Anolis sagrei: one gene and its partners. The protein of the gene in region 4 interacts with the protein of the main gene of each other region in a pairwise test. Links are inferred from orthologs where the notes say so. Each region holds a gene or a part of one and is shown on either strand. Other genes may lie near its edges. The genes, in order: ARIH2, BCCIP, USHBP1 and CCDC33.

What was found.
Region 1: the proteins of CCDC33 (region 4) and ARIH2 interact in a two-hybrid assay, tested with the Homo sapiens proteins (2 studies listed by BioGRID and IntAct). The two-hybrid records come from large-scale screens. The link is inferred for Anolis sagrei from reciprocal best matches to the Homo sapiens genes CCDC33 and ARIH2.
Region 2: the proteins of CCDC33 (region 4) and BCCIP interact in a two-hybrid assay, tested with the Homo sapiens proteins (3 studies listed by BioGRID and IntAct). The two-hybrid records come from large-scale screens. The link is inferred for Anolis sagrei from reciprocal best matches to the Homo sapiens genes CCDC33 and BCCIP.
Region 3: the proteins of CCDC33 (region 4) and USHBP1 interact in a two-hybrid assay, tested with the Homo sapiens proteins (2 studies listed by BioGRID and IntAct). The two-hybrid records come from large-scale screens. The link is inferred for Anolis sagrei from reciprocal best matches to the Homo sapiens genes CCDC33 and USHBP1.

What each region holds. Positions count from the first base shown.
Region 1 is NC_090022.1:28,590,882-28,598,367, reverse strand, and holds the start of ARIH2 (E3 ubiquitin-protein ligase ARIH2), read left to right. Parts: upstream 1-3,981; 5' UTR 3,982-4,174; intron 4,175-7,486.
Region 2 is NC_090023.1:196,683,288-196,690,860, reverse strand, and holds the start of BCCIP (BRCA2 and CDKN1A-interacting protein), read left to right. Parts: upstream 1-4,453; 5' UTR 4,454-4,469; coding exon 4,470-4,646; intron 4,647-7,573. Other genes in the region: UROS (uroporphyrinogen-III synthase), read right to left, coding at 1-41, 1,068-1,130. UniProt on the Homo sapiens protein: During interphase, required for microtubule organizing and anchoring activities. During mitosis, required for the organization and stabilization of the spindle pole.
Region 3 is NC_090034.1:29,449,101-29,457,712, reverse strand, and holds the start of USHBP1 (harmonin-binding protein USHBP1), read left to right. Parts: upstream 1-5,006; 5' UTR 5,007-5,076; coding exon 5,077-5,085; intron 5,086-5,622; coding exon 5,623-5,780; intron 5,781-8,612.
Region 4 is NC_090029.1:300,348-308,859, reverse strand, and holds the start of CCDC33 (coiled-coil domain-containing protein 33), read left to right. Parts: upstream 1-5,380; coding exon 5,381-5,719; intron 5,720-8,512.

The DNA of each region.
Region 1 (7,486 bases), on a different chromosome or scaffold from region 4:
GCTTCTCGTGTAGTCTGACATGGTGGTTGTGAGAGTGGTCCAGCATTTCTGTGTTCTCTAATAATATGCTGTGTCCAGGTTGGTTCATCAGGTGCTCTGCTATGGCTGATTTCTCTGGCTGAAGTAGTCTGCAGTGCCTTTCATGTTCCTTGATTCGTGTTTGGGCGCTGCGTTTGGTGGTCCCTATGTAGACTTGTCCACAGTTGCATGGTATACGGTAGACTCCTGAAGAAGTGAGAGGATCCCTCTTGTCCTCTTGTCTATGTAGACTTGTCCACAGATATATAAACCCACTTTCCTAGTTCCAATAGACCTCACTACCTCTGAGGATGCTTGCCATAGATGCAGGCGAAACGTCAGGAGAGAATGCCTCTAGAACAGAGGTCCTCAAATTAAGGCCCGGGGGCCGGATACGGCCCTCCAAGGTCATTTACCCGGCCCTCGCTCAGGGTCAACCTAAGTCTGAAACAACTTGAAAGCACACAACAGCAACAATCCTATCTCATCAGCCAAAAGCAGGCCCACACTTCCCATTAAAATACTAATAAGTTTATATTTGTTAAAATTGTACTTCATTGTAATTATTGTATTGTTTTTAAGTGGTTTTTGCACTACAAATAAAATATGTGCAGTGGGCATAGCAATTCATTCATGCTTTTTACAACTTATAATCCGGCCCTCCAACAGTTTGAGAGACTGTGACCTGGCCCTCTGTTTAAAAAGTTTGTGGATCCCTGCTCTAGAACATGGCCATATAGCCCGAAAAAACCTACAACAACCCAGTGATTCTGGCCATGAAAGCCTTCGACAAGACTTTATATCTGTTTCAGATTTTCAACAATTACCTCCTCACATAATGATTATTAAATTCTGTGTCCACTTTTGATATTGATGCAGTTTAATACCACTGTAAGTGCATTGGTACTTACAAATCAGGAGAACTGTCATTTTACAACGTCTTTTGCCTTTCCCACCAAAGAGTGAAGGTGTCTTATTTATTATTTATTTATCGTGTCCGTTACTGAATTGATAAGTCACTTCTGATGTGGGAGAATCAGTCATCTACAAAGATGTTGCCCAGGAGACGCCCGGATGTGTTACGATCCTGCAGGGAGGCTTCGCTCATGTCCCCCACCATGGTAGGAGAAGTGGTATCAAACTACATTAATTCTACAGCGTGGAGCCAACCTTAGAAGGCATGCTGAACACTTGATATTATCTGTAAGAGGAAGTCAGAGAAAAGAACAATGCAGAAGTGATGACACTATTTGCCTCTATTTGTTAAATAAATAATCTGCTGCCTGAATTCAGATGGAACAATGCCCTGCATTTGCTCAGACTGGAAAGAATGCTGAAAATTACTTACCAACAACTTTCCTCCATCTAGTGGCAAGATTGAGCAGTGTCTGTTTCACTTGTGAACACAGCTGAACACAAGATTGAGGATGACCACATCTTCCCCAATTCCTAAGCCTCATTTTACTTCTGCTAATTATTATTATTATGTGCATACCATGTCACTGATAAGCACAAGAGGGGCAGTCAGAAATGATGCATCAGAATAGGGAGGCATGGACAAACTTGGGCCCTCCGGGTGTTTTGGACTTCAACTCCCACAATTCCTAACAGCCAGTTGGCCACGCGTTGCTGTAAAATGTAATGTTGGTTTGTGGGGTTAACATAACTCAAAAACCACTGTGCGAATTGACATCAAATTTGGACACAATGCACCTATCAGGCCAACAAGTGACCATCACTCATAAAAACACTGAAAAACACAGTGGATGAAACTTAAAAAGCCAAAACAAATAAATACATTACAACGCATGTGCAAAACCACATATATACATATACACATATATATATACACACACAAAACACATATGCAAAGATTGAACCACAGCAATGCGTGGCAGGGAACGGCTAGTACATAATAATAAACATTATATATAGAAATTATATACTGTATGTACTCGAGTATAAGCCTAGTTTTTCAGCCCTTTTTTTAGGCTGAAAAAGTCCCGCTCGGCTTATATTCAAGTCAAGGTTATTTATTATTTTACCTGTTAGAAATACATAATAAATGTACTGTTATTGTTGTTGTTATTACATTGATCATTCTACTTTACTATTGTTTTATTATATTTCTTATTTTACTCTATTATTACCGTAGTTATTATTACATTTCCATTATTTTACTCTATTATTATTGTTAGTATTATTACATTTGTTATTTTACTCTATTTTTATTGGAAGTATATGCAAGCACATCCCTTATGAGTTTTATTGTTGTATTTGTTATGTTGTTGTTTTACTGAGGGCCTTGGCCTTTGTAAGCTGCACTGAGTCCTTCGGGAGATGTTAGCGGGGTACAAATAAAGATAATAATAATAATAATAATAATTTACATTGAAGGTTAGAATAATGGTTTAATCAGAGTTCCATAGTGTTATTTTAAATTATAGTTTTATGTAAATATTCAAAACATTTTACCTACTGATGCCTCAATTAATGCAGTTGTATTGCATCTATTTTTATTTTGAAATTTACCAGTAGCTGCTGCATTTCCTACCCTCGGCTTATACTCGAGTCAATACATTTTCCCAGTTTTTTGGGGTAAAATATGGTGCCTTGGCTTATATTCGGGTCAGCCTTTTTTTTCATCGTCAGGAGCGACCTGAGAAACTGCAAGTCGCTTCTGGTGTGAGAGAATTGACTGTCTGCAAGGATGTTGCCCAGGGGATGCCCAGGTGATTTGATGTTTTATCATCCTTGTGGGAGGCTTCTCTCATATCCCCGCATGAGGAGCTGGAGCTGATAGAGGGAGCTCCTCCGCGCTGTCCTGGGATTTGAACCTGCGACCTGTCGGTCTTCAGTCCTGCTGGCACAGGTGTTTAACCCACTATGCCACCGGGGGCTCCTAGAGTGGAGATGAGATCTGGGAATATTTGGTATTTAGAAGCATATATAGCTAGAAGGACACTTTCCATGTATAAAAGATGCATTCTCAATGCAGGAAATCTTAATAAAACTATCTTCCAAAGAATCTCATCAGCCTTCTTGATGGATGGTGGGGATTGTTTTTAAAACAGATCTCTGTGAAACAAAGAGCAGTACGTGTGAAAAAGATCTTGGAGTCCTCGTGGACAACAAGTTAAACATGAGCCAACAATGTGATGTGGCGGCAAAAAAAGCCAATGGGATTTTGGCCTGCATCAATAGGAGCATAGTGTCTAGATCTAAGGAAGTAATGCTACCCCTCTATTCTGCTTTGGTTAGACCACATCTGGAATATTGTGTCCAATTCTGGGCACCACAATTCAAGAGAGATATTGACAAGCTGGAATGTGTCCAGAGGAGAGTGACTAAAATGATAAAAGGTCTGGAGAACAAGCCCTATGAGGAGCGGCTAAAGGAGCTGGGCATGTTTAGCCTGAAGAAGAGAAGGCTGAGAGGGGATATGATAGCCATGTATAAATATGTGAGAGGAAGCCACAGGGAGGAGGGAGCAAGCTTGTTTTCTGCTTCCCTGGAGACTAGAATGCGGAACAATGGCTTCAAACTACAAGAGAGGAGATTCCATCTGAACATGAGGAAGAACTTCCTGACTGTGAGAGCCGTTCAGCAGTGGAACTCTCTGCCCCGGAGTGTGGTGGAGGCTCCTTCTTTGGAAGCTTTTAAACAGGGGCTGGATGGCCATCTGTCAGGGGTGATTTGAATGCAATATTCCTGCTTCTTTCAGGGGGTTGGACTGGATGGCCCATGAGGTCTCTTCCAACTCTTTGATTCTATGATTCTAAGAGGATAATCTGGAAGGCAAGAAGAAAGATCTCGTCCTCCCCCTCTTCACTCTCCATATGGCCCATAGAACGCTTCATCTCTGCTCCCCCCCCCCTCCCCGAGCGCTCTGAAGAATGGTTCGTTCCAGCCTTCCTCGCCTTGCCAGCTCCTCCTACGTCAGCGGCCTTCCCGGCGGCGGAAGTGACGCCGCGCTGGAGGCCACGGCTTCCGGTGCGCAGGCCACAGCGGCCCGGCTACAGATGGAGGCGCCCGTCTCCTCGGCAGGAAGGTGATTCGGTCTTCCTCCCTTTTCTTTCTTCTCCTTCTTCCCTCCTTTCGGTCTTCCCTTTCGCTCGCTGCTGAAGAGGCCGCGTTCATCCCAACCGCTCTGAGGGTGAGAGTCTCTGAGGGGAAGAAGCCGGGCCTTGTTTACATAGAGGGCGGGCGGAGGGAGAGGCAAGGCCCCCTCGTAGTTGCCTTGTTGTGGGCCTCAAGGGCAGGCATGGGCCAACTTGGGCCCTCCAGCTGTTTTGGACTTCAACTCCCACCATTCCTAACAGCCTCAGGCCCTTTCCTTTCCCCCCTCAGCCGCTTAAGCCCATGCCTGCTCAAAGGTCTGGTGCTTCGCTTCTCCCATCCTTTCATTCGAATTAAGGCAGCTTGGCACCCCTTTCCTTGTCTAGGCCCAATACTATGGGGTCCTGGGAGCTGTAGTTTGTATTCCCCATCCCGAGGATGGTGCCAAGAGTCCAAACTACAACAGTCACCGTTCCTTAGCAATCAAATAGGTGCCAAACTACCCTTATTGTACAGTACAGATGTAGAAGAACTTTATTTTTCTACCCTGCCTCCATCTCCCCGAAGGAACTCGGGGTGGCTTACATTGGGCCCAAGCCCAGGCAGAATATAATTAAAATAAAGCAATAACAATTAAAACAGCATAAAACAGCATTTATTTATTTATTATTGATTAACTTTATTTGTACCCCGCTACCATCTCCCCAAGGGACTCGGTGCGGCATACATGAGGCCGAGCCCAACACAACAACAGAAGCAATAAAACATCGATACAAGCAATTAAAAAACATAGATAATAAATACACAACATTATTAAAGAAGCCCCGGTGGCGCAGTGGGTTAAACCCTTGTACCAGCAGGACTGAAGACTGACAGGTCGCAGGTTCGAATCCGGGGAGAGGCAGATGAGCTTCCTCTATCAGCTCCAGCTCCTCATGCGGGGACATGAGAGAAGCTTCCCACAAAGATGATAAAAACATCAAATCATCCAGGCGTCCCCTGGGCAACGTCCTTGCAGACGGCCAATTCTCTCACAACAGGAGTCACTCCTGACACGACAAAAATTAAAGAAGCAACACATAATTAAAACAGTGGGAAGGCCAAATGTAGAGTTAAAATTGGAAATAATGCTGGGCCATAAGCAAAAGGTGATACTAGTGTTTGTGAAGGGCATACGAGCATAAAACAATATAACAAAAATAGCTAGCAACAATAATAACAGCAGACTAATTTTGGAGGGGGGAGGCAAACCACTACGTGAACTAGTTAAAGGATAAAGTGATTTAGTAACGTAGATTTATTTATTTATCGTGTCATCGGCAACCATACCATTGTATCACATTTCTAACAGAACAAAATAAACAATCAGATTTTTAAAAAACCCACAGATTTTGCAAACTTGGTAGTTGATTAAATGTCCTTTGACCAGTATCTGGCCACTTGGAGTGCCTCTGGTGTTGCCGCAAGAAGGTCCTCCATTGTGCATGTGTCAGGGCTCAGGATGCATTGCAGCAGGTGGTCAGTGGTTTGCTCTTTTCCACACTCGTATGTCGAGGATTCCATTTTGTAGCCCCATTTCTGAAGGTTGGCTCTGCATCTCGTGGTGCCAGAGCACAGTCTGTTCAGCGCCTTCCAAGTACTTGGAAGTAAGGTAGATGACAATGTATTAAGGCATAGGAAAAACCATGGAAACAGAGCAAATTAACAGGATCAGTTAATATAATATAGGACATCAGATTGAATGACAATTCAGGTCATAATACAGGCCATATGTCATAGGAGTCGTCAGTAGAAAGTACATTAATGTACCCATTAATCATAGTAATAAAAAAAGGCCTATCTTTTAATGTCAATTTTAAACCATGGATTTTAAGCTGGCATTTTTACAAGAATGGATGAGAGGGAATAATAATAATAATAATTATTATTATTTATACCCTGCCACCATCTTCCTAAAGGGGACTCGCGGCAGTTTACATGAGGCCAAGCCCAGCGATACATTACAGCAACATTAAATATAAACAACAAAATAACATCACAATAAAATAAATAAACCAATCAAGTAAAATAAACAGTACAAAATAACATAATGGAAAATCAGACACAGTGGGCGGGCCAAATGCATGACATAAAATGATAAAACACTGGATGAGATAGCAATGAAAAGGTACAATTGTGGGGGAGGAGCTCAAAGGGGACTGAACAGTGGATTTAGACTTTCAATAAGGTGGGGGAAAGTGCAGTATGGGGGAAGCAGTGTAGGTGAAACAACAGGACTGGAATATATGGTCACTCTCCAAAGGCACATCAGAAAAGCCAAGTCTTTAGATCTTTCTAAAGGGAAAGGACTGGGAGACATGAGGGAAGCCACCTGGGCCTTGTTTTACGTAGTAATAAAAACAATGACCTACTTTTAATGTCAATTTTAAACTATGGATTTTATGCTGGCATTATTATTTTTTTTGAAGAAAAGGTGAGAAGGAGAGGACTGGGAGGTGAGGGAAGCAACTTGGTTGCCATTTAAATTAAAATGGAAGATGAGTATATAATGTCCTGTACAGACATGGTCAAACTTCAGCCCTCCTTTGGACTTCCTACAATTCCTAACAGCCCTAGATTGTTTGTTGTTGATGTTATAATTATTAATTCTTTAAAATACAGGTATGATGGAGAACCCATCTAAAAATGCATGCATGCCTGTTTGGAGTTTATGGGGTCCTGACCATGGCTAGTCACCCTGTAAGCTCCAAACAAGCATAATAGGCTTGCCTACATGGTAGAACAGGCCTGGGCAAACATTAGCCCTCCAGGTGTTTTGGACTTCAACTCCCACAGTTCCTAATAGCCTGTCCAAAACACGCAGAGGGCAGAAGTTTGCCTAGGCCTGTTGTAGCATGGGTACATCTTCCATTACTTCTGCAGTGTATAGAATGCTGTGTAATCCTGGGACATGTCTACAAAGGCTTCCGCTGATAATTGTGTTCTCTCAGAAAGCAACTGCAGTGTAGAATGAATGCAGTCTGGCCCCACTTTAACTTTTATTCTCAATGCTGTGGGATCATTGGAGTTGTAGTTTGGTGAGGCGCCCACGCTTTTTTGTCAGAAGGCTCAAGATCTTATGAAACTATAGCTCCTACGATTTCAAAGCATTGAGCCACAGCAGTTAAAGTGGAACCAAATTGCATTCTTTCACCATCACAGACTCCCAAACTTTGGTCCCTCTTATTTTTTTTCATCGGCTCCCCAAAATCCCAACTAATGGGCAATGGAGCTCAGGCTTCTGGAAGCTGAGGTCCTAAACACCCAGAGGACCAATGTTTGGGAATCGCTTATCAATGAGGCTCCTTCCAGACAGGCCCTTTTGATCCCTGGTTTTCTGTTTATCCCAGATCATTTGGCAGTATGGACT
Region 2 (7,573 bases), on a different chromosome or scaffold from region 4:
ACTGGAATCAACGTTGCTTCAAGCCCATGTGAACCCAACTCCTACAAATGAGAGTAAATAACAATGGTTTTGTGATAAATGATTAGCATTGACATTAACACTCTTGAGTCATTCTGGAACTACTTAAAACTAGAAAGTTATCTTTGACTGCAATCCTATACCTGCTTACTTGGATGTCCATGGAAACCACTGGACTTATTTCTGAATACAAATGTATAGACTGATGCAATTACATGGTAACAACAACATGTTTTGAAACAAAACACAATAGTTTATATAGAAACAGTGTATAATATATTTAATGGGACATGAGAGAAGCCTCCCACAAGGATGATAAAAACATCAAATCATCCAGGCGTCCCCTGGGCAACGTCCTTGCAGACAGCCAATTCTCTCACACCAGGAGTCACTCCTGACACGACTATATATATATATATATATATATATATATATATATATATAGGAACGAGGACCAAAGTAATGCAACTATGCACAACACAATTGCAACAATACAAAAAAACCAGGCCCTTAAGGAGAGGAGGATGATCCAAAGGCACTGCTTCCAAGCTGCAAGCTTTCTTCTCCTTGGATTTCTTTGAGAGCATCCCAATCCCTGCATATTTCCAATTTCCTATTCCTGCAACTCCCAGCAATCCTACAGATAGATAGATAGATAGATAGATAGATAGACAGACAGACAGACAGACAGACAGACAGACAGACAGATAGATAAATAGATCAGGAGGACTGCTGGGAGTTGCAGTCCAAGAATAGGTAGAGAAGGAAGAATGGAGAGAAAGAGGAAGGGAAAGAAATGGGAGGGGAAGAAGGAAGGGAAGAAGAAGAGAAGGAAAGAAAGAAGGATGGAGAAAAAGAAAGAAAGAAAAAAGGGAAGGAAGGAAGGAAGGAAGGAAGGAAGGAAGGAAGGAAGGAAGGAAGGAAGGAAAGAAAGAAAGAAAGAAGAGAAAGAAGGAGGGAAGATTGGCCACAGCAACGCATGGCAGGTACAGCTAGTTAGTCAAATAACATTTTCTAAGGTTTTCCAATCTTATACTAAGGATACTTACTTCTATATATGGATCTGGCCCATTTTCACTTTCTTTGGGATCCTTCAGCAACAGGACTTTCATTGTTTACTGAAGAATGGCTAGAAAAAGCAGGAATACAAATGAAAATATATCTAAATTAGATCTAGAGGACTCGTCTCTATAGGAAGTCTGTACAGTTGAGGACCTCAAGAAATAGGAAGATTAACAGCTTCACCAAAGTCTTCTTTGTCGCACAGTGAGTAAGCAGTTACTATGCATTCTCTGGGAAGGAACATCTACTCTGATAAGGCGAACAAAATGCATGTTGGTTTTAAATGATATGTTCCTCTGTCCCAAGGGGAGAAAAGATAAGAAAGAAATGCATTTGTTTTGCTTCTTAAAGTAACACAGTTCTAAATCCTATTGCTTATCCCTATTACAGAAAAACCATTGGATTCGATGCTGAATTGCAAATCGACATATCGGTAAATCTCATTGATTCAATGGATCTTCTCTAGCTGAGATTCAGGTAATTATATTTTAGCAACCAATATATAGTAGAAATGACAACCTCTTCATACTGTAGAAATTCAACACACTCACAGAACTTCACACACTCGTATACACAATTCATTTAATGGTTCCAATAATATTTTCTAGTACAAATACTGTTTAAAATGTTTGCATGTGAGTCACCAAGTGAAAGATTTACAAGCTACGGTGTATTTTACTGCCTCAAACAAAACCCACCAGGAAGCTCCACTACAACTCATTCGCTATAAAGTGTGGTTAAATGCCATCCAGTTGATTTTGGTATATGGTGATCCCAGAAATGAGAGATTTCCAAGGCTCCTTCCACACTGCCACATAGCCTAGATTATCAAATTAGATAATCCAGGTTATCTACTATGAACTGAATTATATGAGGTTCCTTCTACACAGATCTATAAAATCCAGAATATCTGGATTATCTGCATTATATGGCAGTGTAGACTCAGATAATCCTTGTGGTTAAATGCCATCCAGTTGATTTTGATATATGGTGATCCTAGAAATGAAGGATTTCCAAGGCCCCTTCTACACTGCCATCTAATCCAGATTATCAAATCATATAATCCATATTATCTGCTATGTACTGAATTGTATGAGGCCCCTTCTACACAGATCTATAAAATCCAGATTATCTCGATTATCTGCATTATATGGACTCAGATAACCCAAACCAGATAATGTTGATTATCTGCCTTGATATTCTGAATTATATGGCAGTGTAGAAGGGGCCTGAGTCTACACTGCCATATAATCCAGTTCAAAGCAGATAGTCTGGATTTTATATGACAGTGTAGAAGGTGCTTGAGTATATCGATCTGTATTGCAGTCTCCTTTTATTATTCCAAGTTTTATTGTCTTTTCTTGTGAGTTAGGTTTTTTTTTATGATATGGCCAAAGTACAACAGTCTCAGGCTGGATCTACACTGCCATATAATCCAGTATCTGATCCCACCTTATCTGCTTTGAACTGGATTATATGAGTCTATACTGCCAATCTGGGATCAGAAAGTTGATTACAGGCAGTCCCCAAATTAGGAATAAGATAGGCTCTGTAGGCTTGTTATTAAATTGAATGCGTATGTAAGTTGGAGCACTTCACTTAGGCGATCCCTCGTAGTCCGAGGATGATGGTCCTCCAACATCGGTGTTCTGGCGGTGGGTCCGTAGGTGACTGTGGAGCCCTATTCTTGACCTGCATCTTCTCCCACAGTGAGAGCATCAGTTTCCAGGTGGAAGGCGGTCCCAGTCAGGGTTTGCTTGACGCATCTTCCTCTTGGCACGTTTTTCTCTTTCACCCTCCATTTGTGCCTCTTCAAATTCTACAGCACTGCTGGTCACAGCTGACCTCCAGCTGGAGTGCTAAGGGCCAGGGCTTCCCAGTTCTCAGTGTCTATGCCAGAGTTTTTAAGGTTAGCTTTGAGCCCATCTTTAAATCTCTTTTCCTGCCCATCAACATTCCGTTTTCCGTTCTTGAGTTCAGAGTAGAGCAACTGCTTTGGGAGACGGTGGTCCTGACAATGTGGCCGGTCCAGCGGAGTTGATGGCGGAGGACCATCGCTTCAATGCTGGTGGTCTTTGCTTCTTCCAGCACACTGACAATTGTCCACTTATCTTCCCAAGAGATTTGCAGGATTTTTCAGAGGCAGCGCTGATGGAATCATTACAGGAGTTGCTTGTGATGTCTGTAGACTGTCCACGTCTCGCAGGCATATAGCAGGGTTGGGAGGACAATAGCTTTATAAACAAGCACCTTGGTATCCCTACGGATGTCCCAGTCCTCAAACACTCTGTGCTTCATTTGGAAAAAAAGCTGCACTTGCAGAGCTCAGGCAGTGTTGTATTTAAGTGTCAATGCTGACTTTGGAGGAAAGGTGGCTGCCAAGATAGTGGAAATAGTCAACATTTTCTAATGTTACACCATTAAGCTGTATTTCTGGCATTGGAGAGGAATTGGCCGGTGACTGCTGGAAGAGCACTTTGGTTTTCTCAATGTTTAATGACAGGCCAAGCTTTTCGTATGCTTCTGCGAAGATGTTTAGAGTGGCTTGTAGGTAAGTTGGAGCAGGTACATAGTAATGGGCGCTCCATGCAGTCATGTCAGCCACATGACCTTGGAGGTGTCTACGGGCAATGCCAGCTCTTTGGCTTAGAAATGGAGATGAGCACCAACCCCCAAAATTGGACACGACTGGATTAATGTCAGGGAAAACGTTTACCTTTACCTATTCTGGGATACAGGTCTGGGTGGAAGGGCCCATAATAAAACCGCAATAAGGCATCAATATTCAGCTTGGTTTTGGCCATTTGCTGGACACAATGCAAATAACTTTATTTTTTATTTTTTTTGTGGATAAGGAGATGTTGTTATATCAGTGAATTGAAAAAGTAAATACTTGGCTTATTTTGCATAGATGTCCAGGTAAATCAAGTGTTTTTAGAAGGTATAAAGGGGTGCATCCTCTCTACACTTTAGAATGAATGCAGTTTGACACCACTTTTAACTGCCATGGAGCAACACGATGGAGTCGTGGGAGTTGCATTGCCTCAACCATACTACAAATCCCATGATTCCCAATAGCATTGGTCACTATGAGTGAAAGCAGTGTCGAATCTGCAGGTCATGACTGTCAGGCTGCCCCCTTCTTGACTGTTTTGAAAGCGCCCGGTCAGGCGAATCCAACCGGAGGGGTTTAACGGGGGGAGCGGGAAGTCAATCAGCCCGTCGTCGCCATGGCAACGCATACGAGCAGCCCCCTCCCCTTCCTACTTCCAGTGGGCGACTCCAACACTCAGGCGTTCCACTCACCTAGGAGGGAGGGAGGGGGAGGTTGAAGGAATCGGCTTCCTCGTCGTCTTAGAATCCCCGCCTCCCTGGGTCAGGAGGACTCCATGACGCATGCGCAAACTGGCCAGCGGGTGAGCAGCGGCATGGCTTCTCAGGCGAAGCGGAGAAAAGCGGCTGGGCCGCCCGATGCCCTGCGGGAGGAAGAAGAGTCAGACTCGGAGTTGGATAGCGAGGAGGAGGACGATGAGGAAGAAGAAGAAGAAGAGGAGGAGATCAACGAGGTAATCGCCAAGCCGTGATGATCTCTATCCCTCTTCTTTCTTTTCCTCCCAGTCGGCCATGACTTTTCTCACCCAAGCAGCTGGACTACAACTCCCAGCATTCCCTGCTCGGCGAGGCAGTGTTATCCGAGAGCGATGCGTCCTGGGAGTTGTAGTCCAGTGCCTTCAGGGAGTGGGATTTAAAGACACAGGGTACATTAATACTATGTAACATTGGGTTATCAATGTTATTTCTCTAATTGAGTCTATGATAAAAACATGTAGTATGTTTATTATTATTATTATTACTAATAATATTGCAGTATACAGTAGTGATGTAGTACTATATAATAATATATAATACTAATACTGCTATGCTAATAATATTATTTATTTATTTATTTATTTGCCTTACTTATATACCACTGTTCTCAGCCCGAAGGCGACTCACAGCAGTTTACAACAAATATGAACAGCAAAAATTCAGTGCTACAGTATAAAAACAGTTAACAACCTAACACATTACACAATTAATAAACACTTACTACAATACCCATTCACTGTCATCTCGTCATCAAAAACATGTTTCAGATTCATCATCCATTGTTCCATTCCAGTGTTCATTAACCAATCATTGCGCTAATTATTCGAACGCCTGCTCAAACAGCCAGGTCTTCACTTTTTTGCAGAATACCATTAGAGATGGTGCTAGTCTAATGTCCGTAGGAAGGGCATTCCACAGCTGAGGAGCCACCACCGAGAAGGCCCTATCTCTTATATAATACAATATAATACTAGTAATAATCTATATAAATAAAAATGTAATGTTCGTTTGTGGGATTAACAGAACTCAAAAACCACTGGACCAAACTTGGACACAAGACAGCTAACAACCCAATGTATGTTTTTCACTCAAAATATTGATTTTGTCATTTGGGAGATGTAGTTGCTGGGATGTATAGTTCACCTACAATCAAAGAGCATTCTGAACCCACCTTTCTCCCATAAGTGGTTTGCAATTTGCAATGAACACACAGTAAGTTATAGGTCATCAAAGTAAAACATTGAAAAGAAACCCAAACTACAAGCCATGTAAGAAAAAAGATAAATACAAAACCTCCCTCCTCATTCAATAGCTCTTCAACTGTCAAATGTTTGACAGATCAAAATGATCTATATTTGTTGAGACATATAAGAGACTCAACTTACTTTTGCACCAGAAATCCAACCCTAATTAGCCCTTTGCCATGTGACTTCTTCATTTTTAACTATCATTCTTGGGGCATGGGATGCCATCTTGATAAAGAATTCAGAAATCAATATAGGTCAGAGATCTACCAGTAGATCTCTGTCTATCTTCTGCCCAACACACTTGTATTTTATATACATAGTAGGCCTGTTTGATCAAGAAAAAATTTGTTTCTAAATCGATTTGTAATTGGGGTGTTTTTTTGTTTCGATATTTAAAATATTTACAAAACTTTCCAAAAAAATGTTTTGTTATTTACGAAATTTCGTAAATATTTACAAAACATTTTTTAAACTCCATTTGCCTAGTTTCCAACAGACCTCTGAGGATGCCTGCCATAGATGTGGGCAAAATGTCAGGAGAGAATGCTTCTGGAACATGGTCATACATACAGCCCTGAAAACTCACACAACCGGCCTCCGTGCGCCATCCAATCGGCTCCGGCTCCTGCGCCCTCCTCCTCCTCGCGCGCGCGCTCACCCTTACAACCGGCCTCCGCGCGCCATCTAACCGGCTCTGGCTCCTGCGCCCTCCTCCTCCTCCTCCTCGCGCGCGCGCTCACCCTTACAACCGGCCTCCGCGCGCCATCCAATCGGCTCCGGCTCCTGCGCCCTCCTCCTCCTCCTCCCAGCTGTGTTGCAGGAAGTGCCAGGAGGAGGAGGGCGCAGGAGCCGGAGCCGATTGGATGGCGCACGGAGGCCGGTTGTAAGGGTGAGCGCGCGCACGAGGAGGAGGAGGAGGGCGCAGGAGCCGGAGCCGATTGGATGGCGCGCGGAGGCCGGTTGTAAGGGTGAGCGCGCGCGCGAGGAGGAGGAGGAGGAGGAGGGCGCAGGAGCCGGAGCCGATTGGATGGCGCGCGGAGGCTGGTTGTAAGGGTGAGCGCGCGCGCGCCATCCAATCGGCTCCGGCTCCTGCCACGGTGCACTGCTGGGGTGCTTGGGAGCGCCGGATTGGCTCCCAGGCACCAGCAGCACTCAGCAGCCTCCATCCCATTAACGACACGAGCTGAAGCTCGTAAAATATATGGGGCTGCTGTTTCGATATTTTTAAACCCTTCCGGGTTTGAAAATGTGTTTTGAAATCGCGTCGGATGTGGTAAAAATAACGAATTAATAACGAAATAACGAATTAACGAACGAAACCACACAGGCCTAATACATAGATCTCAAAACAGATTGTTGAACATTTTAAGGCATATATATATATATGCGTGGTGGGGATGGGGAGATACGGGAAAAGGAGACCTCGAATTCGGCCTAGGGATCGTACAACAACATTAGTAACTCCAACTCGGTCTCCTGATATGGTGAATTGGTGTAACCAGGTCGGCGGTCCCCCCGGATTGAAGGTGGTGCTGTTGAACGCCAGATCTGTCAATGGCAAAACAGCTTTCATCCAGGATTTAATCCTGGATGAACGGGCAGATCTGGCGTGCATCACGGAGACCTGGCTGGACGAAGCTGGAGGTGTAAATTTGACCCAGCTTTGCCCGCCAGGTTTCTCCGTGCAGCACCAACCAAGATCCGGGGAGCGGGGAGGCGGGGTTGCAGTGATCTATAGAGACTCCATTCTTCTGACCAGGGCCCCCATCCCGCAGTCAACAAATTTTGAATGCGTCAACCTGAGGGTGGGTGACCGGGACAGATTAGGGATTCTGTTAGTGTACCGTCCACCTCGCTGCACTACAGACTCCCTGACT
Region 3 (8,612 bases), on a different chromosome or scaffold from region 4:
GCCATGAAAGCCTTTGACAATACAATAATAATTATAATTATAATTATGGAAAATCAGGAACTGCAATCAAGTCACTGACCAACACAGTCAGAATCTTCAGCACTGACATCAGTATGGAGTTCGGCCTAGACAAATGTGCCACAGTGGCATTAAAGAAAGGGAAAATTACACACAGCGAGGGCATAGAGATGCCAAATGGACAAACCATAAAATGCAATCAGCCTGAAGCCTACAAATATCTGGGCATACTACGGTTGGATAATATCAAGCATGGGCATGTGAAAAGTGTCGTCAGCAAAGAATATGTCCAAAGGGTCAGAAAGGTTTTGAAGAGCAAATTAAATGGCAGAAATACGATCAAGGCTCTCAACCCCTGGGCCATCCCCGTCATTAGATACACTGCTGGGATTGTGAACTGGACACAAGCAGAGCTGGATGATCTGGACAGAAAAACAAGGAAACTGATGACAGCCCACTACTCATTACACCCGCGTAGAGATGTCATCGACAGACTTGACCTGCCCAGAAAATCAGGAGGCAAAGAGAGGGCTTCTGTAAGTGAAACAAAAGGTAGAAGAAGAGAAACACACACTGGCAGATTATGTGAAAGGCAGTCAAGAACAACAGTGAGGGAAGTCAATAGAATCATAGAATCATAGAATCAAAGAGTTGGAAGAGACCTCATGGGCCATCCAGTCCAACCCCCTGCCAAGAAGCAGGAATATTGCATTCAAATCACCCCTGACCAATGGCCATCCAGCCTCTGCTTAAAAGCTTCCAAAGAAGGAGCCTCCACCACACTCCAGGGCAGAGAGTTCCACTGCTGAACGGCTCTCACAGTCAGGAAGTTCTTCCTCATGTTCAGATGGAATCTCCTCTCTTGTAGTTTGAAGCCATTATTCCACGTCCTAGTCTCCAAGGAAGCAGAAAACAAGCTTGCTCCTTCCTCCCTGTGGCTTCCTCTCACATATTTATACATGGCTATCATATCTCCTCTCAGCCTTCTCTTCTTCAGGCTAAACATGCCCAGTTCCCTAAGCTGCTCCTCATAGGGCTTGTTCTCCAGACCCTTGATCATTTTAGTCGCCCTCCTCTGGACACATTCCAGCTTGTCAATATCTCTCTTGAATTGTGGTGCCCAGAATTGGACACAATATTCCAGATGTGGTCTAACCAAAGCAGAATAGAGGGGTAGCATGACTTCCCTAGATCTAGACACTATGCTCCTATTGATGCAGGCCAAAATCCCATTGGCTTTTTTTGCCGCCACATCACATTGTTGGCTCATGTTTAACTTGTTGTCCACGAGGACTCCAAGATCTTTTTCACACGTACTGCTCTCGAGCCAGGCGTCACCCATTCTGTATCTTTGCATTTCATTTTTTCTGCCAAAGTGGAATATCTTACATTTGTCACTGTTGAACTTCATTTTGTTAGTTTTGGCCCATCTCTCTAATCTGTCAAGATCATTTTGAATTCTGCTCCTGTCCTCTGGACTATTGGCTATGCCTCCCAATTTGGTGTCATCTGCAAACTTGATGATCATGCCTTCTAGCCCTTCATCTAAGTCATTAATAAAGATGTTGAACAGGACCGGGCCCAGGACGGAACCCTGCGGCACTCCACTTGTCACTTCTTTCCAAGATGAAGAGGAAGCATTAGTGAGCACTCTCTGTGTTCGTCCACTTAACCAATTACAGATCCACCTCACCGTAGTTTTGCCTAGCCCACATTGGACTAGTGTGTAGTCAACTGCTTCAAGTGCCAAAGACAAAGAGTGAAAACACAATCCAAAGCAGAAGAGAAAACTGGCAAAAGAAGGCTCTCCATGGACAGGTTCAAGCAAAAATGGAGAGCCAAATTGACAAAGAAAAACATGGCTGTGGCTCACAAATGGAACTCTGAAAAAGGAGACGACGGAGGGCCTGATTCTGGCAGCCCAAGAACAAGCCATTTGAACCAACGCCACCAAAGCCAGAATTGAAAAGCTGACAACAGATCCCAAGTGTAGACTCTGCAAGGAAGCAGATGAAACAACAGATCACAACCTCAGCTGCTGCAAGAAGATTGCGCAGACAGACTACAAGCAGAGGCACAACACCGTTGCTCAGATGATTAATTGGAACTTGTGCCACAAAAACCATCTGCCTGCAACAAACTGGTGGGATCACAAGCCGGAAAAGGTTACAGAGAATGAACACACCAAACTCCTCTGGGACTTCTGGATTCAGACAGACAAAGTTTTGGAGCGTAATACTCTTGACCTCAATCGTGTTAAAAAAAAAGTATGGATTGTCGATGTCGCAATCCCAGGTGACAGCAGGATTGCAGAGAAACAACTGGAAATGCTGGCACAATATGAGGATTTAAAAATCGAACTGCAAAGACTCTGGCACAAGCCAGTCAAGGTGGTCTCAGTGGTGATCGGCACACTGGGTGCAGTGACTAAAGACCTTGGCCTGCATTTAAACAAAATAGGCACTGACAAAATTACCATCTGCCAGCTGCAGAAGGCCACCCTACTGGGATCTGCACGCATTATTCGCAGATACATCACACACTCCTAGACAGTTGGGAAGTGTCTGACGTGTGATCCAATGCAACAGCCAACAGAGTGTCTGCTGTGGACCCATCTTGTTGTGTTTCCAATAATAATAATAACAACAACTGAAACAGCCTTGGTCGTCTTAGTGGATGATCTGTATAGGGAACTGGACAAGGGGAGTGTGTCCCTGTTGGTTCTCCTGGACCTCTCAGCGGCCTTCGATACCGTAGACCACGGTATCCTGGAACGCCTGTTGGGAATGGGGCTTGGATGCATTGTTCTGCAGTGGCTCTGGTCCTTCCTGGAAGGTCATTCTCAGAAGGTGTTACTGACACCTGCTCAGCCCCACAGCCATTGTCTTGTGGGGTCCCACAGGGCTCAGTATTGTCCCCATGTTGTTTAACATCTACATGAAGCCACTGGGAGAGATGCCATCTGTATGCAGATGACGTCCAACTATATCACTCTTTTCCACCTGCTACTAAGGAGGCTGTTCAGGTCCTGAACCAGTGCTTGGCAGCTGTGATGATCTGAATGAGAGCAAACAAACTGAAACTGAATCCAGACAAGACAGAGGTGCTCCTGGTCAGTCACAAGGCCAAACAGGGTATAGGGTTATGGCCTGTGTTGGACAGGGTCACACTTCCCCTGAAAACGCAGATTCGCAGTTTGGGAGTTCTCCTGGATTCCTTGATAGTAATATAATATAATAATAATAATAATAATAATAATAATATAGAATTGGAGGAGGCCCCAGGCAGAAAGACACAAGCCATGCCCTCCTGGAAGCTCTGAAATATAACAACAACAACAATAATAATATAATGATAAAATTAGAATTATAATTATAGACAGGAAGATATCATCCAAGCCCTCCCAACAAATGGTTATCTAGTCTCTGCATAATATAATAATAATAATAATAATAATAATCACCATAATTTTATTATGATTATTATTATTATTAGTTTCCTTTTCTAATGGTGGAGATTGATCTTGCCATAACAAATGCAAGGAAATACAATGTGCTTTCCCCCTATAGGGCAGGTTGATTAACAATAATAACAATAACAATAATAATAACAGTGTTCATGCCCTTTCCCCATATTAGCAGCTATGCATTGCACCATAAACCTATACATAAACCTTTTTCTCACCTTTAAGCGGCTAGATGCAGACTCTTTCCCTTTGCAAACCGAGCCGGAAGTGGGTAGGAGGGAGGGCATTCCTTTGGCCCCGCCCTTCCGGCGCAAGGCCTTCTGGGATTTGTAGTTTCCCTGCCAAAAACCTAAGCCTCTTGCCCAAATCAAGTCAATTTTTTTTAAAAGGGAAATATTACTTTAATAATACTTTATTAATATATTATATTATTAATCAATTTCATTATATTGTTTTAGATACGTTTTGATTATACTATATTAGATATATCTATATCTATACACATAATAAAAGTGAAAATCTGTATATGTGATTTATGGGAGTTATAGTTCACCTGCATCCATACAAACTGTGACCCCCACCGTGAATGGACCGGGACCACATTTGGCACAGAGAAGCCATCTGAACATTTTGGAGACGTTTGGGGGAAATTGACCTTGATTTTGGGAATTGTAGTTCACCTGCATCCAGTCATACTGCGACCCCCACCGATAATGGACCAGGACCACACTTGGCACAGAGAAACCCCATGACCACGTGGACATACTGGAGAAGTTTGGGGGGAAATTGACCTTGATTTATGGGAGTTATAGTTCACCTACATCCATACAAACTGTGACCCCCACTGACAATGGACGGGAGACCAAACTTCACACAGAGAAGCCCCATGACCAACTGAACATACTACAGGGTTTTGTGGAAATTGACCTTGATTTTGAGAATTGTAGTTCGCTCTTATCCAGAAAACACTGAATCCAGCCAATGTCGGATCCAGACCAAACTTTGCAGTGCGTACAGGTGGGGTTTGGCGGCGATTGACCCACGATTCTGGGAGTTTTCGTTTGCCCTTATCCAGAGAGCACTGAACGCAGCCGACGTCAGATCTGGGCCAAACCTGGCACACAAGCCCAACATGGCTAACTTTGAATACTGGTGGGGCTTGGGGTAATTGGCCCACGATTTTGGGAACTGCAGTTCACCCACACCCTTATGCATTTTCTAATGGGAGCATTCATAAAAAAACAACAGGAAAGACTGGCTTTTTTCTAATAAATAATGTTACTAATTAACTAAATGATATGACCTAACATCCCAAAACAACCAATGCCCTTTTCAAATCACCCGGGCACTGCCGGGACCCCAAGCTAGTAATAAATATAATATAGTAATAATAAATACATAAGTAAATACTTCCACCCCAGTTTCTTTAGGGTTAAAGCACTGGTCCGGATATAGCTGGCTTCCTTCCTCTCTGGAAAAACAGGAAGGCCTTTTCTTTATTATTATTTTTATGGGAATGAACAGGAACCAAAGGGCTGGGCTTTGGCTTATTTTGATGCTGATGCTGCCTTTGGAGCCACTTTTTGGACAGAATGGAGCAGGTAAGGGCCACATTCTCTCAGCCTCTGAGCAGTATAGTCCCTATAATATTATTGTATTATTATTATTATATAATAGGGGCTGTGTTGGCGCAGCAGGTTAAACCACTAAGCTGCAGAACTTGCTGACTAGAAGGTTGGCAGTTCAAATCTGCGGGATGCGGTGAGCTCCCGTCGTTAGCCCCAGCTCCTGCCAACCTAGCAGTTCGAAACCATGCAAATGTGAGTAGAACAATAGGTACTGCTCCAGCAGGAAGGTAATGGCACTCCATGCAGTCATGCCAGCCACATGACCGTGGAGGCGTCTGAGGACAATGCCAGCTCTTTGGCTTTGAAATGGAGATGAGCACCACACCCTAGAGTCGGACATGACAAGACTTAATGTCAAGTGAAAACCTTTACTTTTTTATTTTTATATAATAGGACCGTTGCTTGGATGCAGCTCTTGCCCAGGTCAAGCACACACCTTGGATCCATAGTAGCCACACTTGAGGCCTTTGCCTGCCATTGATTCAACTCATTTTGTTTCCCGAAACGCAGGAAGGATCCAGGCCTGGAGGTGACAAAGGATCCCCCGAAAAGGCTTTGCCACCAGATGAGCGAGAAGCCCTTCGCTGCGAGGAGCACATCACGGCACTGCTAGTGACGGTGTCCCGCCTTCACGGACACATCCAATGCCTCCAGCGGGAGAAAGACAGGTAACTGGTCGCTGTCACCTTGTCTGTTCGAAGCAATTGTGGTGTTGCAGTGAGCAGCCTTGCAGTTGCAGAGTCAATCAGTGAGGGTATCTGCATAGAGATAGCCTGGCCTCTGTTGCCTGGAAACACCCTCTGCTGGGGAGCTGTCCAGTGTGTGCTTGATGTCTGGAGTTTCCCTATTTTAAAGCTAGTGTGAATGTTGCAATTAGCAACCTTGAATTAGCGTTGAGGAAACTTGCAGCTGCAAAGTCAATCAGTGAGGGTGTCTGCATAGAGGCAGTGAAGCAAGTGGAGTGTGTGTATATCCCTGTGGAATAATGTCCAGGTTAGGAAAAAGAATCCTTGTCTCTTTGAAGCAAGTGTGGATGTTGCAAGTAGCAAGATTGAACAGCACTGAGTAGCCTTGCAGTTGCAAAGTCAATCAGTGAGGGTGTCTGCACAGAGGCAGTGAAGCAAGTGGAGTGTGTGCATATCCCTATAGAATAATGTCCAGGGTGGGAAAAAGAACCTTTGTCTCTTTGAAGCAAGTGTGGATGTTGCAAGTAGCAAGCTTGAATAGCATTGAGTAGCCTTGAAGTTACAAAGTCAATCAGTGAGGGTATCTGAATAGAGGTAGTGAAGCAAGTGGAATGTGTGTGTGTGTATGTATGTGTATGTATATGTATGTATGTATGTATGTGTATATATATATATATAGCCCCCTGTGGAATGATATCCAGGGAGGGAGAAAGAACCTTCTCTGTTTCAAGCTAGTGTGACTGTTCCAATTAGCATTGATAGTAGCCTTGCAGCTGCAAAGTCAATCAGTGAGGGTCTCTGCCTAGAGGGTGCCTCCAGGCATCAAAGACCAGGCTACCTCACCCTGACCCAGGCTTGAACTACCAATCTTTTGATCAGCAAGATTTTTTGCAGCTGGTGGTTTAACCCGCTGTGCTAAAACCTGGCCCTAACTTGGATGTTATCCTGTTTTTGAAGATTTAGTCGGGTATGTTCTAGATCAGTGTTTCTCAACCTGGGGGTCGGGACCCCTGGAGGGATCGCGAGGGGGTGTCAGAGGGGTCACCAAAGACCATCCTGAAAACACAGTATTTTCTGTTGGACATTGAGGTTCTGTGTGGGAAGTTTGGCCCAATTCAATTGTTGGTAGGGTTCAGAATGCTCTTTGATTGTAGGTTAACTATAAATCCCAGCAACTACAACTCCCAAATGCCATGGTCTGTTTCCCCCAAACTCATCAGTGTTCACATTTGGGCATATTGAGAATTCATGCAAATGGTGCCGAGAGCCCCCGTCCAGTAACTGGTCTATACTGCAGCGGAGAGTTCCGCAGTTCCTGGAAGCCGAAATTGAAAAAAAACTGATGAAATGTGCCCCAACAAACAGCTCAAGGCCAGGACTGCTTTCAGCTTTCATCATTTTCCCTCTAGCCCTGACTTTGTATCTAATCTCTAATAAGGGTACTTGAGTTATAGTTCCCCAAGGACCGAGCGATGGATCTTGTTATTTATCAACTCAGCGCCCATCTGCTAACTTCTACCAGAAGAAAATGACTCTCTGCTGCTTGCTTTGAACTGCAAGCCACCTCCGTTTCCACGAGCCTCCCTCAGAAACCTGGGACTTCAAGTTTTCAAATAAAAAATCAATTATTTTATTAAATAATTAAGATGTGGGGTGGAAATGGGGTTTTTCTTACATGAACTTTGTATAAATAATATTGCATGAAATATCGTCTGCCTTCCCGCCTTTCCCCTTGACTTTTGCCCTAAAAGAAGTGACCAAGGACCGTTGCAATGCCTGAGGGAGGACCCCTGCCTCCCTCGAAACTCATTTTGATTATCTCACATCAGCATGGACAATAGCATATTTGGGATTTCCTTTCTCGCTCTCTGAGTCGGTCTGGCGAGACGAGGAAGTCTATATGGACATTATGATTGATTTACAAAGGGCAGGGTCGACCCCCCTGAGGTCCCCTGCCCCGGTCCTGTTTGTTTCCCCACCAAAACCCATCAAGGACAGGAAAGCCTTTCTTGTGGAAATCACACCTAGCCGGCTCAGGACAAAAGCCTCACATTCCAGCTGGCCGGCTATCAGTAATCCCATCATTTCCCCCATTGTCCGCGGTCGGCCCGCCTCCTCTTTTCTGATTCGTCCATCCTCAGAAGCGAGAGAAGCACGCCGATTGGCCCTCCAGAGGCGGAGAAGCTTGCTGATTGGCCCAGGGCAGGGCGGGCCGCCAAGCCTCCTCCCAGCTGTTCAGGCTGTCAACCAATCAGCGTGAAGCCGGGCGGAGAGGGGCGGGCGGAAAATTCAAAAGGTTTTGCTGTATTTTCTCTATAAAAATGCTTATAAATTCTTTAGCGGTATGCTTGTAGTGGAACTATTCCTACAATGCATCCGATCTCAGCTGAATCGCTAATAAAGACACCTTGGTCGCTGACTTCTTCCGCTTTGGTGAGGATTATTATTTTTAATATTTTCACTGCTGGAATTGGCTTCGCTGCCCTCACCAAGGTTCAAGGACCCTTTTCGGTACGGTCCTCAGGATCTCCTCGGCTGGGGAGGTCCTCCAAAAAAGAGGCTCGATATCACAAAGAGAGTCCACAGTGCTCTCTGGATGTAGGTGAATTAGAACTCCAAAATTCAAGGTCAATGTTGGCCAAACCCTTCCAGTATTTTCTGTTGGTCATGAGAGTTCTGTGTGCTAAGTCTGAATCAATTCCATTGTTGGTGGAGTTCAGAATGCTCTTTGATTGTAAGTGAACTATAAATCCCAGCAACTACAACTCCCACAGGACGAAAATTAATACCCTCCCCCAATCCCACCAGTATCCA
Region 4 (8,512 bases):
GAGAGAGATAGATAGAGAGAGATAGATAGATAGAGAGAGAGAGATAGAGAGAGATATAGATAGATAGATATAGATAAATAAATAGATATAGATAAATAAATAGATAGAGATAGAGATAGAGATAGATAGATAGAGATAGATAGATATAGATAAATAGATATAGATAAATAGATATAGATAAATAGATAGAGATAGAGATATAGATATAAATAGATATAGATAGATATAGATAGATATAGATAGATAGATAGATAGATAGATAGATAGATAGATAGATAGATATATAGAGAGAGAAAGATAGGGATAGATAGATATAGAAATAGACAGATAGAGATAGATAGATAGAGATAGATAGATAGATATAGGCAGACAGACAGACAGACTGCTTTCCATGGGCCTCCCCTTTGAATCCTGATGTCCTTCCCCTGCCGCTAACACTCTCCCCCAGCCCTGCTTCCACATCAACCACCTGTTTGCACTTGGCTAACGGGCATTGTTTGCAGGTGAGCACAAGCCCTGCTTGGCCCTGAGTTTGTTACCAAGGCTCATTTGCAAACAAACACAGAAGCCAAGCTGGGTTTCCTTTGGCCTTTCTTCCTCGTCCTCCTTTTTCACGGATATCTTGCACTTTCCTCCAATGTGTGTTGGTGTGGCTTCTGTCGCTCATCTAAGAAGATGTGTGAATGGTAGGAACCAGAGTCATGCCTGTGGAGAAGGATCTCAGGCCTTGGCAGGTCAGTCTTGGGCCAAAGCCAAGGTGTGTTTGAGAGATCCTTCTCTCCTGAGTTGTGTTGGTCTGTTTAGGAGCCCTTCAACCATGGTGCAATTTGCATGATGAACTCCAGGCAGATGAACCCATGGCGAGCTCCTTGGAGATGTGCCTGTGACGTGCTCTTCTCTTCTCCTCCATGACCCAACACGCCATGGCGAACAGGCACCGGGAGCCCCGTCTCCCCATGACCTTGCAGAAATCCCGCCTGAAGGCCGAGGAGAAGGTCTTGGACTTTGACTTTGAGTTGACCAGCGTCCAGTTTAACAAGGTGGGCAGCTACGCCCTGAGGCTCACGGTGGAAAACCCCTTGCTGGAGGGGTCAGGAGCCGGGGTGCAACTCCGGGTCAATGAAGGAGAACCCCTCCAGACCAACACGGCCACCACCGACGTGGTGGAGCAGGGCAGCCTGGATGAAGTCTACACCTTTGAGAAAAGGAGGTTCCTCTTCATCCTGCCCAAAGGTAAGAAGGATGCCGGCAGAGCAGAGCTTGGGAAGAGCCCCCCAGCAAGCCAGGTGGGGTGGGCCATGCCAGGGGGGTTGGTCCAGGGTGAGCTGAGGGGACTCTGGGAGAAGATAAGGAGATGGCCTTCAGGGCCAGAAATCCATCTCATTTCATGAGAAGGTCTTGGGCATTATGCTTAACGAAGCCCAAAATATAAGCCAGGGGATGGGAACCCTCAAGATGCAGTTGGACTTCAACTCCCAGCGTTCCTTATCACTGGTCATACTGGCACAATAGAAGCTCTACTTAACAAGACTTCAAATAGTCTATGATTGAAGGCAGGTATGGGCATATCTGGCCCCTTGGGCTCTTTTCTCAGGCCCTCCTCTCTCTCACCATCCTATCCTACCTTCGTTCTTTCCTTCCTTCCTTCTTTCTCCTTCCTTTCACCCTTTCGCATTTCCTTCTTTCCCTCTCTTCCTCTTTCTCATTCCTTGCTTCCACCCTTTTGTCCTTCCCTCCCTTTCCTCCCTCCTTATTCCTTCATTCCCTCTTTCGCCATTCATCCTTCTCTTCCACCCTTTCATCCTTACTTTCCTTTTGTCTTTCCTTCCTTCCCCATTTGTCCCTCTTTCATCCTTCCTCTCTTTCCTTCCTTCCTTCCTCCCCTTTTGTCTTTCCTTCCTTTCCTCTCTCTTTCTCCCTCTTTCTCCTTCATTCCTTCCTTCCTTTCCCTTTGTCTTTCCTTCCTTCTCTCTTTCCTTTATCCTTCCCTTCCTTCATCATTCCACTCCTTCCTTCGTTCCATCATTCTCTTCCTCCCTTTCATCTTTCCTTCCCTCTCTCTTTCTCCTTCCTCCCTTCCCTTTTGTCTTTCCTTCCTTCTCTCATCCCTTCATTCCCTCTTTCTCCCTCTCTTTCTCCTTCCTTCCTTCCTTCCCCTTTGTCTTTCCTTCCTTCTCTCTTTCCTTTATCCTTCTCTTCCTTCATCATTCCGCTCCTTCCTTCGTTTCATCATTCTCTTCCTCCCTTTAATTGTTCCTTCCCTCTCTCATTCCTTCCTCCTTTCCTCCCTCCCTTCCTGATCTCTTTCGCCCTCCCTCTGTCCTTCCCTTTCATCTTTCCTTCCCTCTCTCTCTTTCTCCTTCCTCCCTTCCCTTTTGTCATTCCTTCCTTCTCTCATCCCTCCCTTCCCTCTCTCATTTTCCCTCTCTTTCTCCTTCCTTCCTTTCCCTTTGTCTTTCCTTCCTTCTCTCTTTCCTTTATCCTTCCTTCAACAGTCTGCTCCTTCCTTCGTTCCATCATTCTCTTCCTCCCTTTCATCGTTCCTTCCCTCTCTCATTCCTTCCTCCTTTCCTCCCTCCCTTCCTTCCCGACTTCTTTCTCCCTCCCTCTGTCCTTCCCTTTCATCTTTCCTTCCCCCCTCTTTCTCCTTCCTCCCTTCCTTCCATTTTTGTCTTCCCTTCCTTCTCTCTTCCCTCCCTTCCCTCTCGCATTCTCCCCCTCTCTCTTTTTCCTTTCTTCCTACCTTCCTTCCTTTCCCCCTGACTTTCCTTCCTTCTCTCTTTCCTTTATCCTTCCCTTCCTTCATCCATCCCTTTCTTCCTTCATTCCATCCTTCTTTTCCCTCTTACTTCCTTCTTTCCTTCTCTTTTTCCTTCCTCCTTGCCTTCCTCCCTTTCATCCTTCCTTCCTTCTCTTCCTTCTCTTCCTCCCTTCTCTTTTTCCTTCCTCCTTCCCTTCTATCCTTCCTCCCTTTTGTCCTTCCTTCCTTCTCCCTTTCCTTCCTCCTTCTCTCCCTCCCTCCCTCCCTTCTCTTTTTCCTTCCTCCTTCCCTTCCATCCTTCCCTTCCTCCCTTTTGTTCTTCCTTCCTTCCTTCTCTTTTTCCTTCATCTTTCCCTTCCTTCCTGTCCTCCTCGCAGGGAGTGTGGTCCCCAAGTTAGAAGGTTGGCCCGGCCCTGATTTAAGAGGATAGAGAACGTTGATGATGGGAATGAATTCCTGGTTTTGAGGCCCAGAAGCTCCGACATGGATTAGGTCATTGTTGTGTTTCCTTTGATCTGGTCCCACCAGGGGATTTTCAAACGGTTCACGGATGGTGGTGTCATCCTTCACCTGCCCCCCTTTCCCTGTTTTCCTGGCCTTTAGTCATGGTCCTTCCAGTAACGGAGACGGGGCCAGGGTGGACTTTCCCAGCAACACGGCACTACGGCGAGTCATCACAGCTGAGAAGAAAATGATGTGATGTTCTTACTTTATGCTGATATAGAATCATAGAATCATAGAATCAAAGAGTTGGAAGAGACCTCATGGGCCATCTAGTCTAACCCCATTCTGCCAAGAAGCAGGAATATTGCATTCAAAGCACCCCCGACAGATGGCCATCCAGCCTCTGCTTAAAAGCTTCCAAAGAAGGAGCCTCCACCACACTCCCTCCGGGACAGAGAGTTCCACTGCTGAACAGCTCTCACAGTCAGGAAGTTCTTCCTAATGTTCAGATGGAATCTCCTCTCTTGTAGTTTGAAACCATTGTTCCCTTGTGTCCTAGTCTCCAAGGAAGGAGTAAACAAGCTTGCTCCTTCCTCCTCCCTGTGGCTTCCTCTCACATATTTATACATGGCCCTCATCATATCTCCTCTCAGCCTTCTCTTCTTCAGGCTAAACATGCCCAGCTCCTTAAGCCGCTCCTCATGGGGCTTGTTCTCCAGACCCCTGATCTGCTCCCTCCTCCCTGTGGCTTCCTCTCACATATTTATACATGGCTATCATATCTTCTCAGCCTTCTCTTCTTCAGGCTAAACATGCCCAGCTCTTTAAGCCACTCCTCATAGGGCTAGTTCTCCAGACCCTTGATCAGGTTCGCAGCTTGGGAGTGATCCTGGATTCATCGCTGAGCCTGAAGCCCCAGGTCTCGGCAGTGACCAGGGGAGCATTTGCACAGCTTAGGCTTGTGCACCAGCTGCGCCCGTATCTTGGGAAGTCTTGGCCACGGTAGTCCACGCTCTGGTTACATCCCGCTTAGACTACTGCAACGCTCTCTACGTGGGGTTGCCTTTGAAGACAGCTCGGAAGCTCCAACTAGTCCAACGCTCGGCAGCCATGATTTTAACAGGAGCGGAGCGCAGGGAGCATACAACCCCCCTGTTGCGCCAACTCCACTGGCTGCCGATCTGCTACCGGGCTCAATTCAAAGTGCTGGCGTTGGCCTTTAAAGCCCTAAACAGTTCCGGCCCAAGCTACCTATCTGACCGCATCTCTGCCTATGAACCCACCAGGAGTTCTTGGAGTTTGAAGCCATTGCTCCATTGCGTCCTAGTCTCCAGGGAAGCAGAAAACAAGCTTGCTCCCTCTTCCTCCCTGTGGCTTCCTCTCACATATTTCTACATGGCTATCATATCCCCTCTCAGCCTTCTCTTCTTCAGGCTAAACATGCCCAGTTCCCTAAGCTGCTCCTCATAGGGCTTGTTCTCCAGACCCTTGATCCTTTTAGTCGCCCTCCTCTGGACACATTCCAGCTTGTCAATATCTCTCTTGAATTGTGGTGCCCAGAATTGGACACAATATTCCAGATGTGGTCTAACCAAAGCAGAATAGAGGGGTAGCATTACTTCCCTAGATCTAGACACTAGGCTCCTCTTGATGCAGGCCAAAATCCCATTGGCTTTTTTTGCCGCCACGTCACATTGTTGGCTCATGTTTAACTTGTTGTCCACGAGGACTCCAAGATCTTTTTCACACGTACTGCTCTCGAGCCAGGCATCCCCCATGACCAAGAGATATGACCTTGGGGGTCCCCCATGACCAACAGAATATTACTGTATTTTCTGATGGTCTTTGGCAACCCCCCTGATACTCCTTCATGACCCCCCCCCCGGGTCCCGACCCCCTATGATGAGAGACATTAACCTAGAGATTCCTCGTGATAACATTTTAATCAAACCTGTGAAGAATCCAATCTATAAAAGTCACAATTGCAAATGTGGAGGGATAACTGTCCTTACCTTTTTGGTTTTCATTTCACAAACAGGTTTCTGCAAGAACGACAAGAACCACGATGCCCGCCTGCGCATCGAAGCCTTGCGCCTCCGTGGGTCTTCTCTGAAGGGGGCCATCAAGGCCGGCGAGGCTTTCTTTGCCATCTACCCGCGCACCAACCAGCCGCGCATGAACCTGTTTGCCGGCCGAGACGAAGACGTGTATGGCTACAGCGACATCCTGGTGCTGCTGCGAGTGGGTCCAGACGATCTGGCCATGCACTGCGGGAGGATGGCCTTCACCGTGTCCTTCCACGAGCACCGACCAGTGGCCCAGAGGAAGAGGCCCATCACGCCCCGCCGCCTCTCGCCGTTGCCTCCCACCAAGGCGGAGGAGCTGCCCGAGGGAGAGGAAACCAGTTCCCTGTCTCCTTCCCAGTCTCTGCAGGTCCCTCGCTTGGTCTATCCAGTCTCCACCTCAGAAACTTCCACTTCGCTTTTATTCAGCATGGAACCCCACACCCCCCAGGTTAGGAGAAGAGTGAATTTTTGTCACAACATTTCGTTTCTTGGGAAGGGAAAAAGGAATTGGCATGACATCGTTGCTGGAGCATTGAACTCCATCAGCATTATTGTCCATGATATATATGGGATTCATCGTGAGATATCTTGGAGATGGGACCCATGTATGATGTATACGGAACACATCCTGAGATATCTTGGAGATGGGACCCAAATACCATATATATGGAATCCATCATGACATATCTTGGAGATGGGACTCAAATACGATATATGGGATACATCATGAGATATCTTGGAGATGGGACTCAAGTACAATACATATGGGGTACATCATGAGATATCTTGGAGATGGGACCCAAGTACAATACATAGGGAATCCATCATGAGATATCTTGGAGACGAGAGTCAAGTACGATATATATGGGATACATCATGAGTTTTCTTGGAGATGGGACCCAAATACGATATATAAGGAATCCATCATGAGATATCTTGGACATGGGACCCAAGTACCATATATATGGAATCCATCATGAGATATCTTGGAGATGGGACTCAAATAAAATATATATGGGATACATCATGAGATATCTTGGAGATGGGACTCAAATACGATATATATGGGATACATCATAAGATATGTACAATACCAAAGTACAATACATATGGGATACATCATGAGATATCTTGGAGAAGGGATCCAAATACATATGGAATACATTATGAGCTTTCTTGGAGATGGGACCCAAATATGATATATATTGGATACATCATGAGATATCTTGGAGATGGGATCCATGTATGATATCACATCCTGAGATATCTTGGAGATGGGACCCAAGTACCATATATATGGAATCCATCATGAGATATCTTGGAGGTGGGATGCAAGTACCATATATATGGAATACATCATGATATTTTTTGGAGATGGGACCCAAGTACAATACATAGGGAACCCATCATGAGATATCTTGGGGATTGGATTCAAATAAGATATATAAGGAATACATCATGAGATATCTTGGAGATGGGACCCAAATACGACATATAAGGAATACATCATGAGATATCTTGGAGATGGGACCCAAATACGATATATAAGGAATACATCATGAGATATCTTGGAGACAGGACTCAAGTACGATATGTATGGAATACATCATAAGATATCTTGGAGATGGGACCCAAGAACCATGTATATGGAATACATCCTGAGATATCTTGGAGATGGGACCCAAGTACCATATATATGGAATCCATCATGAGATATCTTGGAGATGGGATCCATGTATGATATGCACGGGAAACATCATGAGATATCTTGGAGATCGCACCCAACTATGAGATATACAGGAAACATCATGAGATATCTCAGCATGTATAGGGTAATTCTACACAAACATAGGGTGCATTTTAACTGATATGGAATTGAATCCTGGAAGATGTTGTTTGACAAGATCTCCAGCCTTCTCTGCCCAACCACATCAGTGCCTCAGCAAACTACATCATCAAGGATTTCATAGCATTGAGCAATGGTAGTGAAATTGAGGTCACACCAAATTAATTCTATGGAGTATATGCACCCACTCAGCCATGAAAACCCACTGGGTGACCTTGGATGAGCTCTAGAAAACCCTTAGGGCTAACTTAAGTTGGAAATGATTTGATGGCATCCAACAACAACAATAGGAAATATTCATGATGTAAAGGATGACATTATGCACAGGAACTGAAATGTATGTACAGTCAGCCCACTCTAGGGGTCTCTAGGTCCTCCAGAATGACTGTATCTGACCAAGAATGACTCTTGGTCAGATCTGGAGGACCTAGAGATTTCCAGAGAGAGATGTTCTAGGAATCTTTAGGTATTCCGATGTGACCTTATGGCAGTGATCCTCAACTTTCCTAATGCCATGACCCCTTAATACAGCCCCTCATGTTGTGGTGACCCCCAACCATAATGTTGTTTTTGTTGCTACTTGATACCTGTCATTTTCCTACTGTTATAAATCATAATGTAAATATCAGATATGCAAGATGTATTTTCATTCAATGGACCAAACTGGGCACAAATACCCAATGCACCCACATGTAAATGCTAGTGGGGTTGGGGGAGGATTGACTTTGTAATTTGGGAGTTGTAGTTGCTGGGATTTATAGTTCACCTACAATCAAAGAGCATTCTGAACTCCACCAGCGATGGATTTGAACCTAATTTGCCACACAGAACTTCCATGACCAACGGAAAACACTGGAAGGGTTTGGTGGGTATTGACCTTGCATTTGGGAGTTGGAGTTCACCTATATGCAGAGAGCATGGTGGACTCATCCAAACTTGGCACAAATACTCAATATGCACAAATGTGAACCTAATTTGCCACACAGAACTTCCATGACCAACGGAAAACACTGGAAGGGTTTGGTGGGTATTGACCTTGAGTTTGGGAGTTGTAGTTCATCTATATCCAGAGAGCACTGTGGACTCACGCAATAGTGGATCTTGACCAAACTTGGCAAAAATACTCAATATGCACAAATGTGAACACTGGTGGATCTTGGGGAAAATAGACCTTGACTTTTGGGAGTTGTAGTTGCTGGGATTTATAGTTCATTACAATCAAAGAACATTCTGAACTCCACCAACGATAGAATTGGCTCAAACTTCCTATATGGAATCCCCATGATGATCAGAAAATACTGTGTTTTCTGATGGTCTTTGGCAACCCCTCTGACACCCCTTCATGACCCCCTCAGGGGTCGTGACCCCCAGGTTGAGAAACACTGCCTTATGGTC